7 linked regions of the Kluyveromyces lactis genome follow. The protein of the gene in region 1 purifies or fractionates together with the protein of each later gene. This does not show direct contact. Links are inferred from orthologs where the notes say so. Each region holds a gene or a part of one and is shown in the gene's direction. Other genes may lie near its edges.

What was found.
Region 2: the proteins of RVB1 (region 1) and ACT1 purify together in Saccharomyces cerevisiae (affinity purification with mass spectrometry; 7 studies listed by BioGRID, with this or other methods). This does not show direct contact. The link is inferred for Kluyveromyces lactis from reciprocal best matches to the Saccharomyces cerevisiae genes RVB1 and ACT1.
Region 3: the proteins of RVB1 (region 1) and VPS71 purify together in Saccharomyces cerevisiae (affinity purification with mass spectrometry; 6 studies listed by BioGRID, with this or other methods). This does not show direct contact. The link is inferred for Kluyveromyces lactis from reciprocal best matches to the Saccharomyces cerevisiae genes RVB1 and VPS71.
Region 4: the proteins of RVB1 (region 1) and IES5 purify together in Saccharomyces cerevisiae (affinity purification with mass spectrometry; 5 studies listed by BioGRID). This does not show direct contact. The link is inferred for Kluyveromyces lactis from reciprocal best matches to the Saccharomyces cerevisiae genes RVB1 and IES5.
Region 5: the proteins of RVB1 (region 1) and TAH1 purify together in Saccharomyces cerevisiae (affinity purification with mass spectrometry; 7 studies listed by BioGRID, with this or other methods). This does not show direct contact. The link is inferred for Kluyveromyces lactis from reciprocal best matches to the Saccharomyces cerevisiae genes RVB1 and TAH1.
Region 6: the proteins of RVB1 (region 1) and IES1 purify together in Saccharomyces cerevisiae (affinity purification with mass spectrometry; 5 studies listed by BioGRID). This does not show direct contact. The link is inferred for Kluyveromyces lactis from reciprocal best matches to the Saccharomyces cerevisiae genes RVB1 and IES1.
Region 7: the proteins of RVB1 (region 1) and ARP6 purify together in Saccharomyces cerevisiae (affinity purification with mass spectrometry; 4 studies listed by BioGRID, with this or other methods). This does not show direct contact. The link is inferred for Kluyveromyces lactis from reciprocal best matches to the Saccharomyces cerevisiae genes RVB1 and ARP6.

Annotation. Positions count from the first base shown.
Region 1 is NC_006040.1:1,560,264-1,563,564, reverse strand, and holds RVB1 (RuvB family ATP-dependent DNA helicase pontin), read left to right. Parts: upstream 1-1,427; coding exon 1,428-2,801; downstream 2,802-3,301. Other genes in the region: NAD-dependent histone deacetylase HST4, read right to left, coding at 1-581; SLY1 (syntaxin-binding protein), read right to left, coding at 2,902-3,301.
Region 2 is NC_006040.1:460,447-464,133, forward strand, and holds ACT1 (actin), read left to right. Parts: upstream 1-1,279; coding exon 1,280-1,289; intron 1,290-2,069; coding exon 2,070-3,187; downstream 3,188-3,687. Other genes in the region: SND2 (Snd2p), read right to left, coding at 1-525. UniProt on the Saccharomyces cerevisiae protein: Actins are highly conserved proteins that are involved in various types of cell motility and are ubiquitously expressed in all eukaryotic cells.
Region 3 is NC_006037.1:191,199-193,742, forward strand, and holds VPS71 (Vps71p), read left to right. Parts: upstream 1-1,294; coding exon 1,295-2,044; downstream 2,045-2,544. Other genes in the region: carnitine O-acetyltransferase CAT2, read left to right, coding at 1-967; STE14 (protein-S-isoprenylcysteine carboxyl O-methyltransferase), read left to right, coding at 2,425-2,544. UniProt on the Saccharomyces cerevisiae protein: Participates in the catalytic exchange of histone H2A for the H2A variant HZT1, an euchromatin-specific factor, leading to chromatin remodeling and changes in transcription of targeted genes. Indirectly involved in vacuolar protein sorting.
Region 4 is NC_006041.1:1,787,891-1,790,188, forward strand, and holds IES5 (Ies5p), read left to right. Parts: upstream 1-1,444; coding exon 1,445-1,798; downstream 1,799-2,298. Other genes in the region: MET6 (5-methyltetrahydropteroyltriglutamate-homocysteine S-methyltransferase), read right to left, coding at 1-422; KLLA0_E20087g (uncharacterized protein), read right to left, coding at 806-1,180; TORC2 complex subunit TSC11, read right to left, coding at 1,818-2,298.
Region 5 is NC_006039.1:781,226-783,262, reverse strand, and holds TAH1 (Tah1p), read left to right. Parts: upstream 1-1,189; coding exon 1,190-1,537; downstream 1,538-2,037. Other genes in the region: YIH1 (Yih1p), read right to left, coding at 24-839; KLLA0_C08888g (1,3-beta-glucan synthase), read right to left, coding at 1,649-2,037.
Region 6 is NC_006040.1:651,424-655,359, forward strand, and holds IES1 (Ies1p), read left to right. Parts: upstream 1-1,366; coding exon 1,367-3,436; downstream 3,437-3,936. Other genes in the region: KLLA0_D07568g (FAD-dependent oxidoreductase), read left to right, coding at 1-315; KLLA0_D07579g (uncharacterized protein), read left to right, coding at 495-788; KLLA0_D07612g (uncharacterized protein), read right to left, coding at 3,486-3,936. UniProt on the Saccharomyces cerevisiae protein: Probably involved in transcription regulation via its interaction with the INO80 complex, a chromatin-remodeling complex.
Region 7 is NC_006042.1:1,756,029-1,759,028, reverse strand, and holds ARP6 (Arp6p), read left to right. Parts: upstream 1-1,252; coding exon 1,253-2,500; downstream 2,501-3,000. Other genes in the region: condensin subunit SMC4, read right to left, coding at 1-918. UniProt on the Saccharomyces cerevisiae protein: Component of the SWR1 complex which mediates the ATP-dependent exchange of histone H2A for the H2A variant HZT1 leading to transcriptional regulation of selected genes by chromatin remodeling. Involved in chromosome stability.

The DNA of each region.
Region 1 (3,301 bases):
ATAAAACTGTGATATGCAGTAGGTTTGCTAGTACATGATAAAGAATGCAATTTACTCATTAGGCTGTTGAAAGATATCGACATGGAGTTTGACGAGTAAACATGGTTAAAATCAAATAAATCCTTCCCAGACTTGACATTTGGTGAACTTGATTTTAAAGTTGTGAATAGCCCATTCGCTGATCTGAAGTCTGGAATTCCTGCTGCTACTGATACCCCAGCTCCTTGGACCACCACGATTCGTTTCGAATAACTTAACACGTATGTTAAAAATTCAGCATCTTTTGATGAGCTCTTGGCAGATCCCTCAACATAATTATCCAAAGGAAAAACAGTATCCAGTTCTGGTCTATATTTCAGTCTTGGTTTTCTTGTTGTCTGCGGCAAACTGCGAGTAGTAGGCGAATCGCATAGTTTCTTCTTCCGAGATGGTGACTTTTTAACTCTACTTAAATCATTTATAAGCTTTCTTGGCTTGATAGACAGTTCTTTGAGATCACCCGCTTTCAAATCATGTTTCTTTACCGATGACGATGGAGGAGTCAGTAGTTGATGGTACTCTTTCCTAACTGGAGACTCCATTATTAATGCTTATGCAGTGGAAATCCTTACCTTAAAACTTTGTCAGATTTATTCTACCCTTTCAATGACTTACAGTAATAACGTACTCAGAACCACAAAGATACGATACCAGTAAATCACACTCAGTCAGGTCATATATGTATAAATATATATATATATGTACTATATGTACGAGTACGGAATGGAATTACATTTGTGATAGCCACAAGAGGGTATTAGTTAGTGAAACTGAGCTTTTCTTTAAATCGAGATGGATATATTCCGAAATAGGAAATGTAATTGATCCCGCTTGCTGGTTCTGCATGAAAAACCGAAATAATCGATGAAAAGAAAAAAAGTTGAAGAAGCAAAGCTTTTAGCCGTCCTTTTCTTATTCGGACACCATAGTTTCATTTGATAAGGATATCAAGCTGTTTGCCCTGACAAGCTATACAAACATTTTTTGAACCTTTAGCTGTAAGATACTGTGAGCACGACATTGGTGGATTTCTTACCTCGATTGCATTGGTCCTGCTCAACTGTCAATGCAGCGTAGAAACTAAATAAAAAAAAAAGGCATGATATCTAATCACGTGGACAACTATCAATTCCGTATGTGATGATATGTATGCTTTTCTTGTTTACTGGGCAATTTAGAAGAAAAAACAGCAGTCGACATCTCTTCAAATCTGGGTTTCTTTGATGATTTTCAAGTATTGACCGGTCTTCTTTAGCTAGCTTTCGATTGAGTAGTAGTAACGGATCAGCCTTTCAATTTTTTAATAGTCCTGCAGTCGAAAGAAAACTAGGAGAAGATATCTATTATTACCATCTATATTTTCCTTCTTGCGATAGTATAACGTTAACATGGTACAAATCAGTGAAGTGCAGGAACAATCAAGCACTGCGTATACCCGTACTGCAGCTCACACACACATTAAAGGGTTAGGTTTAGATGAGTTTGGTGTAGCAAAGCAAGTGGAAGGTGGTTTTGTGGGGCAAGCAGAAGCTCGGGAAGCGTGTGGTGTCATCGTCGATTTGATCAAAGCCAAGAAAATGTCTGGTAAAGCTATCTTATTGGCTGGTGGGCCATCCACTGGTAAGACAGCTTTGGCTTTGGCAATATCGCAGGAACTTGGTCCTAAAGTTCCATTTTGTCCCTTAGTGGGCTCTGAATTGTATTCCGTTGAAGTGAAAAAGACAGAAGCTTTGATGGAAAACTTCAGAAGAGCCATTGGATTAAGAATTAAAGAAACAAAGGAAGTTTACGAAGGTGAAGTTACCGAATTAACTCCAGAGGAAGCGGAAAATCCGTTGGGTGGTTATGGTAAGACAATCTCGCATGTTATCGTCGGATTGAAGTCTGCCAAGGGTACTAAGACATTGAGGCTTGATCCAACTATATACGAAAGCATTCAAAGAGAAAAGGTTTCTGTTGGTGACGTTATTTATATCGAATCAAATACAGGTGCGGTGAAAAGAGTTGGTAGATCAGATGCCTTCGCAACTGAATTCGATTTGGAAGCGGAAGAGTACGTTCCCCTTCCAAAGGGAGAAGTGCATAAGAAGAAGGAAATAGTTCAGGATGTCACTTTACATGATCTAGATGTCGCTAATGCCAGACCTCAAGGTGGACAAGATGTCATTTCGATGATGGGACAGCTCATGAAACCAAAGAAGACAGAGATAACAGAAAAGCTTAGACACGAGGTTAATAAGGTTGTCGCAAAGTACATTGACCAAGGTGTAGCAGAACTTGTCCCGGGTGTTCTTTTCATTGATGAAGTGAATATGCTTGACATCGAAATATTTACTTACTTAAACAGAGCATTAGAATCTGATATTGCACCTGTGGTTGTTTTGGCCTCAAACAGAGGAATGATCACCGTACGCGGCACTGACGACGTTGTTTCTCCTCACGGTGTTCCACCAGATTTGATAGATAGACTCCTAATTGTTCGAACTCTACCTTATAACAGAGAAGAGATCAAAACAATCATATCAAAGAGAGCTGCTGTAGAGAACTTGCAGGTGGAGGACGAAGCATTGGAATTTTTGGCGACTTTAGGCACAGAAACTTCTTTGCGTTATGTTCTACAGCTTCTATCACCATCAGGTATCATTGCTAAGATTGCAAACCGCGCCGAAATATCGGTGGCAGATGTTGAAGAAGCAAAGCTATTATTTTTAGATGCTAAAAGGTCTACGAAGATCTTGGAACAATCTGAAAATTACTTGTAACTTTAATTTCGTGTTAACATGGCATCTTACTTCATCAAAGTATAAGTTTATTATAAATATATACTGACAACAAATAAAATCATAAATCTATATTATAACCTCACTTTTTAAATCCTGAGATCTCTTTCAAGAATCCGTTAGGGGAGATTATATCAGTGCTACCATAAATGACCTTCTTGTTGCTATTTTCATGTTGGTGAACCCATTCTTGAAGATTTTGGTATTCAAAGTAATTACCGCCACCTACAACAAACACCAAGGATTTATTATATGTCTGACTCTTTGGTAGCTTCTCGTGCGAACCCCTTGTGCTTCTAGGATCAAAGTAAAGATATTCACTTGTAATGTGAAGGTTCTTTTTTGAGCTGTTCAATGGATCCATGATGGCTTCGACGATATTGGTAATGGGAATCGTTTTCTTCTCGGGAAGAAGTTGTTTGATTCCAGAAAGAAGAGAACTAACACCTTGTATTTTCCCCTCAGTTAATCCATATAACTTG
Region 2 (3,687 bases), about 1.1 Mb from region 1:
TTTATCACCACGTTTTTCCCTCTTCAATTGTCTCTTTGATTTGGAAGGTTCAGCGGGCGTTGTCTCTGCGAGATCCGCCTTTGAAGCTGAGGCACCGGGGAAATACTGTTGCTTCAAGTAGTACAACTTGTAGAAAATAAACGCAGGGCACACTAATACCAAGAACCACCATTTCATCGTGTTGAAGAAAACTGTTCCCAGGTTACAGAACAAGGAAACATACACGATATCTTTCATGTATTCAGTGAGTCCACCAGATTCCAAATCGAACCCTTCATTAACTAGTTTATATTTTCCATGCGCAGCGTTACTGACTTCATATTTTGGTCTACCGGTACGTTCGAGAATATATAAACATAACAACATCGGCACATTGAAAAGAATAGGTTTTAGGGTTGAAATCAGCCCATTACTGAACCATTTCCTCAATAACGTTAAAGATAGTATAGCGACGACTAGTACGTGCAACTGCTTTAAGATGGCTGCGTTCTTTGCAGCAATCTTCTTGGACGATTTTCCAGCCATTCTACAATGGGTGGGTGAGATTCTTCAGAGATAGAGATAGATGTACATAAATGTACTGTCGAATATTAACCTGATCTATTAATACCTTCCCGTTGCTTCAATGATAGTTGATGATGATCCACGTAACATATATTCACGTATAGATTTCAACTGCCGAGTCATTATAATCCGGGTAACGTACATATATGTCACGTGATTTTGAATATACACATTAATATACGGAGGATTAAGACGATATGCGGTCATAATGAATTGTAAAATAAACCAGATGTACTAACATCCAGAGATCGATAACTGCCTCATGAATACAATATACTACGATATAACTATTCTACCGACAGCCTACCAACGTTATATCAAACTTCCAGCCTTCACAAAGCCTTCAATTGCAAGTCCGCCCCTCCAGCTGTACAGTGAATCCCACGTAACCACTAGAAAACCATTACCGCAACTGCTCCGCCTCGTGGACAATGACAATCGTCTCCTATTTTTCATCAGAATTCTTTTTTTTTTTTTAATTTGTTTTTTCGAAATTTTCTCTTCTGTTTCTCTGGACAGCTAGTGCGATTTATTGTATGAGAGAGTTTGAAATTTGATTTAATTTACAAGAAAAATAAGAAATATCTTGATTTGTTTCCTCCTTCTTTACTGTCTTTTACGATCCAAAGAGAAGAAAGGTTGTTTCAGAATAACGGTTTTTTTGTTGATTGCAAAAGGAATTGTACAACATCTTCACGCGCTATAGTATAACAATATGGATTCTGGTATGTGTGGAAACGTATATTTGATTACGGTGGGTTAATTGGGTGGTTAAAAAGTTTGGATATGTTTTATTACTTTGTTAGGTTTCCGGTTAAATGTTGGGAGGGAAAAGATAGGATAATGGCAGCGCTTTGCGCTGCCATTGTCCATTCTCTAACTCCCTAAATCAGATTTAGAATTAGATGTACAACGCTAATTGAATGGGTTTTTTTTATATATAGGGGTTTGGATTAGAAGCTTTGTTCGAGAATTGGATCTTTCATTTCCTGGTTCTACCTTCTTACTATAACGTGTTTTTCTTGGGTTTTGGGTGACTAACTTTGGATTTTGGGTTTTTTTTACCTGATTTAGGAGGCGAATTGGAAAGAAATTTGGAAAATATAGGCAAAAAAAGATAATTTGATGTCACGTGATGATGTGATTTTATATTACAATGTTATTCCTTCCAGTCCAAGAAGGAATCAAAGTACACCTTTAAGTGGTGCAGGCATTGCCCCTCGTGGTTCGGTTGTCCCTATTTTTTTTTTGATTTATTTTTCTGGTTGCTAAGGTTAGCCCCTATTTTGTCCGCGACAGGACTTTTAGCGTTGAACAATCACATAACCTCATGATCACCCAAAATGCACCTGTTACTTTTGTTTTCTTATCTTATGTTACTAACAATTATTTTTCTATTTGGGATGGCTGAATTCACTTTTTTGGAACACCTAACCTACCCAAACGTACGGTTTAGTTCCTTAATCTGCATTCTGCTACTCGTGATGGTTTTTTATTCTAAACAGAGGTCGCTGCTTTAGTTATTGACAACGGTTCTGGTATGTGTAAAGCCGGTTTCGCCGGTGACGACGCTCCAAGAGCCGTCTTCCCATCCATCGTCGGTAGACCAAGACACCAAGGTATCATGGTCGGTATGGGTCAAAAAGACTCTTACGTTGGTGACGAAGCTCAATCCAAGAGAGGTATCTTGACTCTACGTTACCCAATTGAACACGGTATCGTTACCAACTGGGATGATATGGAAAAGATCTGGCATCACACCTTCTACAACGAATTGAGAGTTGCTCCAGAAGAACACCCAGTTTTGTTAACCGAAGCTCCAATGAACCCAAAGAACAACAGAGAAAAGATGACTCAAATCTTGTTCGAAACTTTCAACGTTCCAGCCTTCTACGTCTCTATCCAAGCTGTTTTGTCCTTGTACTCTTCTGGTAGAACCACTGGTATTGTGTTGGATTCTGGTGACGGTGTTACCCACGTTGTTCCAATCTACGCCGGTTTCTCCTTGCCTCACGCTATCTTGAGAATCGACTTGGCTGGTAGAGATATCACCGACTACTTGATGAAGATCTTGGCTGAACGTGGTTACTCTTTCTCTACTACCGCTGAAAGAGAAATCGTCCGTGACATCAAGGAAAAGCTATGTTACGTCGCTTTGGACTTCGAACAAGAAATGCAAACTGCTTCTCAATCATCCGCTGTTGAAAAGTCTTACGAATTACCAGATGGCCAAGTTATCACTATCGGTAACGAAAGATTCAGAGCTCCAGAAGCTTTGTTCCATCCATCTGTTCTAAGTTTGGAAGCTGCTGGTATCGACCAAACTACTTACAACTCCATCATGAAGTGTGATGTTGATGTCAGAAAGGAATTGTACGGTAACATCGTCATGTCCGGTGGTACCACCATGTTCCCAGGTATTGCTGAAAGAATGCAAAAGGAAATTACCGCCTTGGCTCCTTCTTCTATGAAGGTCAAGATCATCGCTCCTCCAGAAAGAAAGTACTCTGTCTGGATCGGTGGTTCTATTTTGGCCTCTTTGACCACTTTCCAACAAATGTGGATCTCAAAGCAAGAATACGACGAATCTGGTCCATCCATCGTTCACTTGAAGTGTTTCTAATCTCCTTCACTTTTTTTTACTTGACACTCTTATAAAAAGAATACAATTAAAATAAACGATGAATCGATTCATATAGATGAACCCAAAAATTGAAGCTTATGAAACAAAAAACTAACAATTATTAAAACTTCATATAGGGACGATTTTACTCCAAATCTTCTTTGTTTTTATAATTTTGTTTTGTGTGTTGTTTTTATTTATCTTCGATCGCACAGTCATTATTCAAGTTCCAATCTTCTATCTTATGTTGTTGGAATATTCTACTTCATATAAATGAAGTGGGTAGTTTAGTATGAAAGTTAATAAGTTAATAAGCCGAGATTATATACGAACGAAATTCAAATTCAACATTAAAATTAAACAACTCCAATTGAAAGTTATATACGGCAATTATTGAATATTCGTGCGAGGCTAATTGCTTAAGTTGATCATCTGATAATTTGAAAAGGATTTAAAATCATCATATGTTCCAGAACAAAGATTTTTAGTGTTGAAAGTTA
Region 3 (2,544 bases), on another chromosome or scaffold:
GCACGGAGACGGAACCAATAGATTCTTTGACAAGCCTTTGCAATTTTTTGTTACTGGTAACGGTTTCTCCGGTTTCTTGGCAGAACATTCGAAAATGGATGGTACTCCAACTTTGTTTTTAAACCATTACGTCGTGGATCAATTAACAAAATTGAATCCTTCAGCGTTCGTCGAGTCCTTACATTCCAACGTATCAGCTTACCCTTCTGTGAACAGTGAACATCTACCATTTATAATTACACCAACCTTGAGAAATACTATCGAGAGTGCAAAATTGCAATTTATAACAACAGTGGAACGTGAAGATTTACGCGTTTGGCACTATAATAGGTATGGTAAGAGAATTGTGAAAACATTTAAAGTGTCACCAGATGCTTACATTCAACAGGTGATTCAACTTGCTGTTTTCAAGTATTTGAAGAAACAACTACCAACGTACGAAGCTGCTTCTACCAGAGCGTTTTTCCAAGGTAGAACTGAAACTGGTAGACCGGTCACTGAATCCTCTTCCAAGTTCGTTAAAACATGGGAATCACCTACTTCTACTACTGAAGAGAAAATTGCTGCTTTCTACGATGCTGCCAAGGATCATGTTGAATATTTGAAGATGGCCTCTAACGGTGAAGCCGTTGATCGCCATTTCTTTGGGTTGAAAAACATGGTTCATGAATCTGATGAGCCAGTACCTTTGTTCCAAGACGCATTGTTCAAATACAGTTCTACTTGGTTGATTTCAACTTCACAATTATCCTCTGAAAACTTTGAATGTTACGGTTGGTCTCAAGTATACGATAATGGATTTGGCTTAGCCTATATGATCAATAACGAATTTTTGCACATTAATATCACCAACAAACCAGAAGCTTCTGGATTTAGTGTTGACGAACTACACTATTATTTAACTAAGGCGGCAGATGAAATGTATGAAACTTTGTCTCTACACAACTCTGCCAAGGCCAAACTATGATATAGCACAGGCACCAGTTTATATTGTTTTAGTACGAGTCCATTATATATGATATTCTAACCACTTTATGATCTATTATGAATTACTGAACAAGGATGCACTGGCAACAATTGGTACCATCATCAACCATACGTTAACGGCCTATCTTACCCAATGATTGACATCTTTTCTCTCCCTTCAGTTACTGTTGTTCGCATATCTACCATATTATATATCAAATGAGAATATGGCAAAGAAATTTAAAATCGACCTTATCATAGTGAGTATACCGAGGAAGACACTTTATCACTGGATAAAAGAAGGAAGAAGCGTGCGAAGAGTGTCAATATGAGGTCGGTAGAAGAAATCAATGTGAGGACGTATAATCCTAACATTTATTTCAGCAGTTTGAACCAAACTCATCAAAGTGCAAGGGTCTCGAAACAGTCTCAAACCTCAGCAAGAAACAAGAGAGTCAATTATTCATTGGCTGATTTGGAGGCAAAGATATATAATCAGCCCAAGGGAAGCGATAAAGACGACATAAATCAACTGACAGGATCTGATAAGCATGCCTTGCCTGATTTGTTACGATCTAATAAGCGGTTCATGGAACTTGACACAGAAAACTATCAAGATCTTCGTGAAGTTACAACTCTTCTCAGTAACATCACGGGGCTGAACAAAGATAAGATCGATCAAACAAGCACCGGTATATTATCTGAGCAACAATCAGGCTCAGGTTCATCCAGACAGAGGATGGCCAAGTTCGATTTGCCCAAGTCTATGAATTTATTGTATAAATCAAGCAAGCCGCCTCGGAAATCAAAGAAAAGTTCCAACAGAATATCAGCACTAAGGAAAGTACTTTCAAGCAGAAGGTCTTTACACTCCTATCTAGAAACTTTAGACCAAGTGAACCACACACTCATTTATAGTAACGTTCAAAACAAGAAGTTTTTCAGGGTCTTACCAATGATCGTCACCTGCTCTATGTGTGGTGGTTACTCCAGTATATCTAACTGCGTTGTTTGCAATGACAAGATATGCAGTCTTCGCTGTTATGAATTACACAGTGAAACAAGATGTAACAACTGAGTTTGCTGCTAGCTGAAAAAACTTAACAGCTACTCTCTTTGAACCTCAAAACACTGCTCATGATCCCGTGTTTGTTGCTTCATGTTGATGTCTTTGTAAATACTGATTATAGTATAAAATCGAGGCCATTATCTTTTTTTTTTCATTCTTTCACTTTAAACAATTTTAATACCGATGAAAGAGAAGACTTTAACTTAACTATTTGTTATCGAACAAGACACTATTTGAACTCCTTGCTGTTGGTATTTAGCAGTACGCATCATATTCCATTAATATATCAGACCTTGAAGAATCCTTCACGCTGGTTTTTGGTTTTTATTCTGAGCTATTCTAGTTGAAATCAGTGAAGGTATTGGCGTGGATTGAGAGGTGCGGAAGTTATGTCGAGCAGAGATGATGAAAGTGAGGATGTTCTTGTGATTATTGATGGGAAAACATTTCCTAATATACAAAAGAACGAATTGGACGAGATATCTTTAACGGCATTTATGCTAGGAGTG
Region 4 (2,298 bases), on another chromosome or scaffold:
TTGAATTCAGTAGAGTTAGAGAAGGTTGGTCTGACATAATGGTAGTTGGAGTCAAACCATTTAACCATTTCCAAAGCTGGCACATCAACAGCAGCAGTGGTTTCGGTAGCCTTTCTTTGCAAACCTCTAGCCATAGCAAAGTAAGTGTCCAATGGAGACAATTCATACTTAGAGTAACGTTGTGGGATAACGTTGAACAATAGAGAAAGATCCAAGACTTGATCGTAGAAAGAGAAATCGTTGGAAGCAATGACATTGACACCAGCATCCTTTTGCAACTTCCAGTTAGAGGCCTTGATGTCCTTAGCAACTTGTTGTAATTGTTCAGCAGAGACCTTACCGTTCCAGTACCCTTCGGTAGCCTTCTTCAATTCTCTGTTTGGCCCAATTCTTGGGAACCCTAAGACGTATGATTGAACCATTTTGTTATTGACAAACTAATGTATGATTAGTGATTGGTTTGTTTGGCTTAAGATATTAAACTCAAACTGAATGATAAAGGAAATAAATCTGTATTTAAACAAAGTACACATAATTCCTTTTATTATTGTAATGATGAACAATTGTCACTCCTCAAATTACATCAAGAGTCGACTGCTTATATACATTTTTTTTCAGATCCTCTTTGGACTGAAGTTTCTGATCCAACAAACATCGTTTAAACGATGAGTCTTAATTACCTTCGGCTGCTCTAGTCGTTCCCACGAAAAAATCTGCTCAACTACAAAACTGCCACTATTACTACTGCTGCTACTACTACTTACTTTTGACTTGAGCTCATCGGAACGTAACAGAACAAAACTTTTCACCACAATTCACCAAAGGATTCTTTCTGCAGAGATGGGGCTCTCTCAGATACCATAGAAAAGCACATGTCGTCAAAATAACACTTCCCACGAATCGCACAGCATTTCACATGTGGTTTGCCTAATGGTTTCCACATGGTTTCCTGCACGGTGTTTTGACGTAAATAGTGTGGTATAAGACCGACGTAGGTTGGGCAAATGGTAACTGTCACGTGCTGTGCCGTAGTCATGGCTAACCGGTCACGGGGAATGGTTCGGACTGCAATGTGGCTCAATTTGGTCTGTAAGGGTGTGGTTGGGGCGGTGGTTGTGCTTGTTGTGGCGTTTTTATGCACTTTTCCAAAGCAATTTTGATCCTTTTTTTTCCACACCATCCTCCTCCTTTCTTTCACATGGTGACGATGACTTCGTGATACTTACCCGGATTGATTGAAAGAGCTCCAAACTGAACAGCATTTCCAAGTCACATGTATTTTCACGTGACCTACAGAAGTAGTAGACTGTCTCTCTCGATTGGAACTCTCTTTCAGCAGAAATTTAAGCCAGCAATTATCACTCTTCTTCTTAACTTCGAACAACTATTTACGAGGTGAGACGATTTTCTCCAGTTTCAGTGCTATTACCACCAAACATCCAATATGCCGACTTTGGAAGTAGAGCACAAGAAGCTTCTTAATAGAAGAGAAGAATTGCTGAAACAAGACGTTTCTCTTAGGAAAGATTACAGTATCTTGCTTCGCAAGATTACAAGTGTCTGCCAGGTATTAGAATCATTAGGTGAGCCTATTCACATCAATTTAAATGGATACCCCATCTTCCAACAGCCAGATTATCAGAAGTTTAAAGATTGGGATGCTCTGGTACCACTTTTGAAGAGTTTAGAAGAAGTGAACTCGTTGCCCTTGGATGAAATCGAGATCCCAGAAGCTTTACAAGAATCTTATGAATTATTTAAGATGACTCCATTACTATATAAGGATGGTTCTGAATGAAAGTTTGGCTTGTCCTGAATTATCTTTTTCTTCTCCTCTCGTTCCGTATCATGTTCTCAACGGCTCGTGTGTTGATGAACAGTTCCAACAAAAATTTTCGAACTGAGGGTTTGAATCGGTACTCTCCCAATAATTCATAAACTTGTTCAAACATTTCTGGGCTTTGGAATCTACTAGGCCCATACTTGGACTGGAGAGCAGTTATCTCTTTGATCGCACCATTCAGAAGGATATTGTTGCCCATATCGCTTACTATCCTTAGGATCCTATTGTTGATCTTGTCATCTTCAAACACATCTGGCAGTTTCGACTCATTTGTTTGGGATATCTCTCGGATCGCTCGTTCCAATTCTTGTTTGTCCTCTTCCTGCTGGTCGGGATTCACAGACGTCTCGGATCTTTCCCATTCCAATAAGTTGTCTAAAGGGATCTCATGGTCCCCAACTATAATGTTCGAATTCAGTTCATTGTTACATATAGACGCCGCGTTCTGATTGTGT
Region 5 (2,037 bases), on another chromosome or scaffold:
ATACTCCATTCTATAAATGTGAACTATTTTGACCTCTTCTTACTTGAAGTAGAGGTAGCAGCTTCTGTGAAATGCCCCTTCAATATTACTTCTCTAGTTGTTGAATTTATATGCTTGAATCTATCTGGACCAATATGAACTCCTCCGAACCATCTTCCAACGGCAACAATTACATTCCATGCATCCATCACTGTGATCAAATGTAGCATTCGTCCTCCTGCAGCTGTTTCTCCATCGTCATCGCAGTCTTGGAAACTGACACCGTTCTCTCCCTTGATTCTCCATGCAACCATTAAATGATTAGCACGAGCAATTTTATTATCGGTTCTTAACAGCTCAAGCTTATCGAATGCCTCTTCTTCAGAATTGGCTTTAGTAGCAAACGCAATAAACGTGCTCTTTCTGTCAGTGATGGGATCACTTACGTACCATCCTTCGAAGGGATCAATCTTTAAATTCTCAAATTTATCAGATATATCAACCTCATCTGAACCAGAAGCCTCTTCCCCCTCCTCAGTATAAAGCACACCATCGAGCTCCGTCAAGAAATCGAATATACAAACAAGTCCAGGGTTAAATACAGATTCCAACACTTCAGTGAAAAGATGGTTTAAATATTTGACATCATATAGTGCTGATATTTTAGCAGATAAACTCACTTCTAGTAGATGTGGCGGTTCTGTTTCAGGGTAGTGCTCGGGAAACGATAGATGTAATGTGAAATCCTCGTGTTGAGGAACTTTAATTTTTATTCTGTCATTATTAACCACCGTTAGAAGATCTGGGTAGATAGCATTTATCGCATCGATTTCGTCATTTACATCATCATTGAGTACCATTATAGATATATTGGAAGTGTTGAATTGTATTCCAAGCCAATGTCAATCCCAAACAAATGAGCAAAATATTTTAAATGCTAAAGTTGCATATACAACCGATATTTTCCAAAGCGTTAATCATCTCAGCTCATCTCAATACAAATCGTCATGTTTATGACTGTGATCATCTTACATAAATTTGAAAACTGATGCTTAAGTGCATGATACAAAATATTAAAGAATCTTCGAAAGAGACAAACTTAGTTCAAAATTTCGGAGATAGGATTAGAAAAGTAGTTTGGCTTCAGTCAGAGGATTAGTAGTCAACTACTTTTAAAGGATACTTCCTATTGTATAACTATATTCCAACAATGCCAAGCTTTGAAGAGTTCAAGATCAAAGGAAACACTGCATACAAACAGAATAACTTCACTGATGCTGTGAATTTTTACAAGAAAGCGATCACTTATGATCCGACAAATCCAGTAGGCTATTCGAACTGTGCTATGGCGTTGATAAAACTGAACAATTACGCAGATGCCTCTCAAATGTGTCAAAGAGGGTTGTTTTACGTTAATGAACAAACCGACAACGATAACAAAGTTCGCAAAAAACTTCAGTGGAGGTTAAATGTCTGTTCAGAGCAGCTCAAAGATGACCTGATTTCGGTGCAAATTCATGAAGTAGATAAACTACCGAGTAAATATCAAGATCTTTGAGATTCTGTTGCTGAGCAATGCAGGGTGTGTATTCATGGAAGAAATGCATCTATATACACTAATCATGTGACTTACAAAATGAAATTACCAGTAGAATATCTTTGAGTAGTATTAAGTGTTAGAAACTCTCGGTTTATTGAACATTGCTCTCATCATATTGTGATATGCCTTGAGCCCTATCTCCGAACGCAATGCTATACTCATTTCTGGTTGTATGAGAATTCTGGTTGTTTCTCTCAAGTTGTCGGAATCGATAACCACAAGTTGGTTCAAGATCAGAGGCAAAGAAAAAACAACTGTGATTATTGCTAAGATAATGATAAACACCAACGCATATATGTTCGCATTGAATTTGCTTTTACCCTTCTTCTTAAAAATAATAGGTCTGGCGTCAATGTCCGCCTTTCTCCAAAATAGCATTAAGGAATGCAAAGTATCCACATTTGGAATCATCAAAATTGGTACCTGTAGGAGTAAGATGATATGCACGAGAACGAAGT
Region 6 (3,936 bases), about 910 kb from region 1:
GGTGGTACCAAACAACCTGGTGATTATAGTGTAATGCCTCGTGATACAGATACTGAGAAGCTCATTGGAAGAGGTAAGAAACTTTTCCCTGAATTGCTTGAAAACTTCGAAATCAAGAACGTCAACGTTGGTTTCAGACCGCTAAGAGTAGGAGGTTCGCGTGTAGAACTCGAGTTCAATAAGAGTCCTGATGGAGAACAAATGCCAGTTATTCATGCTTATGGTCTTGGTGGGATGGGATTCGAGACCTCGATGGGTGTTGCCTACCACATTCAAAAATTGTACAACAACGTCTTCTCCACTTCAAAATTATGATGTGCGCTTGCATCGAAATTAAAGACTACCTACTGGACATTTCACATTAAAGTAAATAATTCTGTAAATAAAGACCACGCAGCATTTTAAGTTAACTTTATTTGAAAGTATCAATAACGATTACACTTCATTCGAATGAAGGGATTGTACAACGGAGGTTGTTACTAAGTAAAAAAAGTATGCATCTCAGTAACGAAGTGAGTGGTGCCGTCAGGACGTTTACGTATTTTATGGTAAGTGGAACTCATTATATGTTGAAGGGTGTAGATTACATTTCGTTATATGGTGAGGAACCCAGTGCAATTGAGCAAGCTTACGCCATATTCATGAATGTGTTGGAAATAGATGAACAAGGGAAAGTTATCAACGTCAAACATGCCGAGAAACGAGCAACAGACTACATTAGGTCTTACTGTGAATCGACCTTCGAGGTTGATCCACCTTTCGAAGATTGGGAAGTTCAGTTATATTGAAAAATGTACCTCCATTAGCAACTATTTTAGACCGGCGTTGGTTTTCTGGGAGCAATTGGCTGCTTATACACCAGAATAGTGTATGTTTAGAGGCTGCTACATAGTCAAAAGATAGTATTAGTATTCATACATGATATCAACCTTTATTCACACTGGATATAGGCAACCAATTATAAATCCGGGTAACTTGTAGTTTACGTTGACTATCAAAGAGAATCAACCAAAAGGTAATAACGTCCAGTAAACTTAAACAGTAAAACAGAAGTTTTCTGATATAAAGAAGGTGGAAAAGCCAGACTTAAAACATTAGAGAACGTATAAATTTGAAGAAATTCATTATTGGTTCCATATATAGTACCCCTAATTGGAGATCTAATTGGGTATCTGCGTTCTCTGTTTTTCTAATTAGGAGACAGACAACTTTTTATTGAATAACAGAGCGGAAAGCAATTGTTACTATCTTTTATGAACTGCTAGTACCAAATTACAAACTTATAACACCTAGAAATTTTCCAATTCAATTTAAGATTACCTTTTCTTACATTTGCATTATTGATCAGCTCTAAAAGATTTCAACAATGGCAAAGCGGGTGTATGATCCCATTCACGATACTTATCAGATACAAGTTACTCCAGAGCCGCCTGTGCTTTCACAGCCGCGACCAGATGGTAACGAAGAGGAAGACAGAGACTCGGATTCTACTCAGTCAGAACCTTCTCAATCAGCTGCAATTTCCATGCCAGATTCTTCTAATGACGAAAATAAATATTATGAGAAGGAATCAACGGTGTCCGCAGATTCTCCTAATTCAGCATTGCCATCTGATTCACAGCATTCCGTAATACCTCCTCCGCCACCAATGGAGCTGGTTCAATACCCAGGGAATGAGAGGAAATCCAAACATTCTCATGCTATGAACTTTATGACAACTACCCTGAGACCAAAACCTAAGGCAAAAGAACCAAGCCGATACACTCGCCATTTAAAGAAATCTGACGGTGAACCTTTCACTCGTAAGGACATTCAATATGAGTTCCTTTCGAACCTTCTATCTGACACAAGACAAATATTTAGTAATCCGTTCCAAGATTTCTTTCCCTTGGAATACACACCAGAGGAAGGTAAAGTGGTGAACGTCACGGATGTGGACTATAATGCAAGAACTTTCATCAAAACCGAAAAATTAACTTTTTCTCAGATATACATTTTAACTATCGCTTCTTCAAGTAAATGTTCCAAAGTATTACGGGATAAACTACTTTTTGATCATCATGTAGCGTTTTCTACGTGCATATTATCATTGTTGGTGAATATGGGAAGATTGAATACGACTGTAAATTTCTTTCTCGAAATGACTTCCCAGCTGCGTACCTTCCATTCAATTCCATGTCTACAGCACTATAGTTCAGATCCTAAATCATTACAAGATACTCCAAGGATTAAGTCGATCCTCAAAACTATCCCACTTGGGTCCGACACTCCAATAGAGTTTCATAAATGGTACGCAGCAGATTACCCCCGTAATCCTAGCGAATGGGTAAATCCAGTATCTTTGATATTTGCTTTTTGCGAACAACATGCCATACTAGATTGGAATATTATAATTCCTAATTGTAAGCCCAAGACCTCTCTTTACCAATTATTTGATGATAATAATTATTCTCCACAGCTACGAGTCAATCTTTTCTTGTGGTTGATGTATATCCATATGGAGACGAACCTCACACCGGAATCGTTACAGTCTTCGAAACCTCTCTTCCAAGTCGAACCAAACGGAACGTTCTTATTGACTGCGTCTCATTTAGAACATGATATTGACACTCCAGTAGAGGTAACATACGGAGAAGAGCAATTGGAAAAGAGAATAAGCTTTTTGAATCAAACAGGAGCAGAGAGGACGATTGTCCAACAGACGATGGAAACTCCTCCTACAGGCCCCGATGATGAACCGTTGGATCCAGAAGCAGCACTAGAAGAACCGGTACCGGCTCCTCCACCACCAAAGCCCAAGCAGTCACGAGCTACATCAAAGGAAAAAGGAGGGAAGTCACAACCGGTGATAATCCAACAAGATACACAGCGAAAGAAGAGACAGTCGAATGCAGCAGGTTCTAAAAATAATTCGGAAGAAAACAACAATAACTCTGAAAGTAAAGCTGCAATAAGGGCTAAGATTCAACAAGATAAAGATGAGCGAGTACAGCAAAAAATTGATCTTGATAAAAATTTTAAAATTAGAGATGATTTGACTCAGACTCAATTGAGAACTAAATTGATTGAAGCCCATAAAATCACCAACAAGAAAAACCATGAGTTAGGCTTAGTTAAGTTATTTGACGAATTCGAAGATGTTCCTCTTGCAACTATTATTGGTATCCGGGGGAAAAAGAGAAAGAAGTTCAGTGACGGCATTTTAGGATATGAGACAGACATGTTAGGAGTGCTACGCCATTCAAAAAGAACAATGCTCAAAAGGCTAAGAGAGAAACGCGGAGTGCCCAACCCTGAAGAAGAAAACAGCTCTGCTGTCCAAGAAGCAACGACTGAACCAAAAGTAATGGCTGAATCCACTGCAGAAACTCTGGCGGCAGATCCAACTGAAAAAGTGGAAAACGAAAGGAACGGAACTGCCTTCCATGACAGCTGAATAGTTCCAACTTCTGCGAACGATAGTAACACTAATAATGACATTGTAATTAAATAATTGTAGATCCATATTTAATGACTCCTAATTGAATTCCATACTGGTATATAAGGAAATCCAAAATTTTCTGTACTTTGTTGGTCAGTATCAACGTTTCTGGGTATGGCGATGGTAAATTCCAGTAACAGTGAAAAGAAACCTCTAAATCATTAAGAGTTATGGTATTGTTAGATGCCCTAATGAATTTACTTGCCTCGACGATCTTTGATATCATTTGCTCGTGAAGTTCCTTTATCCTAAGAAATTGTACGACAGCCATCATAGCAACATTCACGTTCTGAGTATCTTCGGCATATTGAATTATAGGCTGTAACTCAACTTCAAACGCATTCAAGTCAATAGCCATGGAACGAATACTCTCGTTTTCTACTGCTATTCTGAAAGAGGCGGTGAAACTACCTTTACGTAGCAGGATCATATCCTTTTCACATGTGACTGTAACA
Region 7 (3,000 bases), on another chromosome or scaffold:
TTTGAATTTAGCTGTGCCAATTATATCTTCCAAATATTCCAAAAGTCCATCATCGTTGTCCTTTTCAGCCTTGGCCTTCATCTGGGCAATCGATTCCACTTCACCTTGAAGAATCAAGAATCTTTTATGGTCCAAATCAATTCCTTCCTCTTTTAAAAGTCTTGTTACTTCAGTATAATTACTCTCTTTCCCGTTAACATAGTACTTTGAAGAGTTGTTTTTGAATGCTCTTCTTTCAACCACCATTGTACCAGCCGATGGAAGAATCTTGGTTTCACCATTATCTGTATCATGAACGTAATGAAAATGAATTTGGACAGAACAGGATGCCAGACTCGGGAACTGCTCAGATTTGTGAATTAACTCGGAGAGTTTCCCTTGCCTCATTTTATTGGCTCTAAAACCGAAGACAAAAAGCATTGAATCGATAACATTAGATTTTCCTGATCCATTAGGACCAACAACTGCAGAAAATGATGTGTGGAATGGTCCAATCTCTTGAATACCAGCATACGACTTGAAATTATTCAAAACCAATTTATCAATGCATAATCGCTGTGAGGTCTGAGTATTGGCCTCGTGCATCTTTTGTAATTCAAGTCGTGTACTTTTTTTGGGTGAAAGTCTGATCAATTCAAGCTTTCTTGTCGGAGATCTAGTAGGTGATCGCGTAGGAGACCTAGGCGGAGACTGACTGTATTCGCGCCCTCGTACAGCATGTGCCGTAGGAGGTTGCAGACTCGGTGGATCCATTGTATTAGAAGCGGCAGTAGTAGCCTGTGAATTAGAGACGGCATATTTTTTTTCAGGTGAGCCCAAAACCAACTTCCTTGGCGTCCTTGTTGGCGATTGTGATACTCTTTGCCTCTTTATTTCTGGTGAGTCTCCCAGATGCGGCACAGAACTGTCTGCAGTCATATCAATCAAGCTATAGTGCAGCTACAGGAGGCAACCAGAATAATAGCTTTACAGGTCGAGGTGCTCGTTGGCTGTGGTGGTTTGCCATCGCCATCGCCATCATGATAGAATATTAAAAGTTCTTTGGTTTACATCATGATTGTTTGGTAAACAAACAATCTTTTCAAAACATGAAATTTGAAAAATAACAAAAAGGAAATGAAGAAAAATTGTAGCACTACTACAGAAAAACACAGGCAATCTGCATGCGCGCTTCTTTGAATGTCCTGATGATTTGCCAAATTGGCTATATGGGATAATTTAATGGGAATAATATAATCATACATCTATTAAAATGAGTGAGCCTGTATTGGTGATCGATAACGGATCGTATGAAATCAAATTTGGTGAGAGTGGATGGGATCAGCCACTGCGAGCGTTAAACTGCTTAACCAAGGACAAATACTCTCGCTTCCACCTTTCAAATCAAACGAAGAAAATGCGGGATATATCGCAGGCTTTAATAAGAAGGCCTCACGAATTGGGTCAACTTGTATCATGGGAATTAGAAAGTGAAGTATGGGATTACTGTTTTTACAACGAGGACGACTTCCATTGGAACTTGACACACGACAATGACACTAAAGATCATCATTTAGTAGTAAGTGAGACGCTCATGACGATACCAGAGCTTTCGAAAAACATGGACCAGGTAATATTCGAAGAATATGATTTCAAATCTATGTTCAAAGGACCTGTAGCACAATATATTCCTTTTTACCAGGGTCAATATCAAGATGACGCAATGACCGCTGCTGAAGACAAGAAAACTAGTTCATACAAGGACTTCCAATTAGTTATAGACTCGGGGTTTAACTGCACATGGGCTGTTCCTATAATAAAGGGAGTACCGTATTACAAAGCTATCAAGAAACTCGACATCGGTGGCAGATTTTTAACAGGCCTATTACAGGAAACCATTTCGTTTAGGCATTACAATGTGATGGAAGAGACAATACTTGTAAATAACATCAAGGAGCAATGTACTTTTGTTCCCCCTGAATCATATTTTTCAAGTTTCCACAACAAAATGAACACAAAGGTCGAGTATGTACTACCGGACTTCCAAACGAGTTTCTTGGGGTACGTTAAGAAACCAGGTAAAGAAAAGCTCACGGATGATGCACAGACCTTATTACTCACAGATGAAGTCTTCTCGGTACCAGAAACGTTCTTTCATCCTGAAATTGCACAGATTTTAAAACCAGGAATCGTCGAAACAATTCTAGAATGCATCAACATGTGTCCCGAAGTCGTCAGACCATTACTTGTTGCCAATATAGTATGCACCGGAGGCAATTTTAACATTCCAAACTTCCACGAGCGATTACAAACAGAATTACAAAGACAATGTCCGATAGACTGGAGCTGCAAAGTACATTCACCCCAGGAAAAGGACAAATCTCTACACGGATGGGAAAGCATGAAAGACTTTGCCAACTCGGATCAGTTCCGCTCAGCAAGGGTCACAAGAGAAGAATATCTAGAACACGGGCTCGATTGGTGCACCAAGAACAGATTTGGCTACCAACAGTGGTTGTAACCATGTGATCGCAACCACGGCTTTCGTGTATATAGAGTATATATGCATAGGTTCAATTTCACAAACGCTCACGTGATATCAAATGAAACTGCTACTGCTACGGTATTATTTTTTAGTAGCGGAAATTCAAATCCGGGTAAAAAAACTATGATCCCCTCCTGCCTCTATGAAGTACCCCTATATTTCACATACGGAGAAACCACACATACTCATATACACAAAAACAAGACAACTTGATGGAGCAAAGCTCAGGAGGGTAGAGTATCTGCAATGCGCTCATTACAGGTCGCTTCTCGAGTGTTCTTTAGTACTCTCTCACATGCAACGCGCTTTGCACAATTGTTCCGAACTTCCGTAATCCTCTGAATTCCCATGATTGCTCTATTTGGCTTCGGAAAGAAATAAGGAAGAAAGCCAAGAAAAAGAAAAAAGATAAAGCTTGTTTAGAAAGAGCTGTGAAAGGAAAGCTTATTACGTATTTTTTGATATATTAAGGTAAA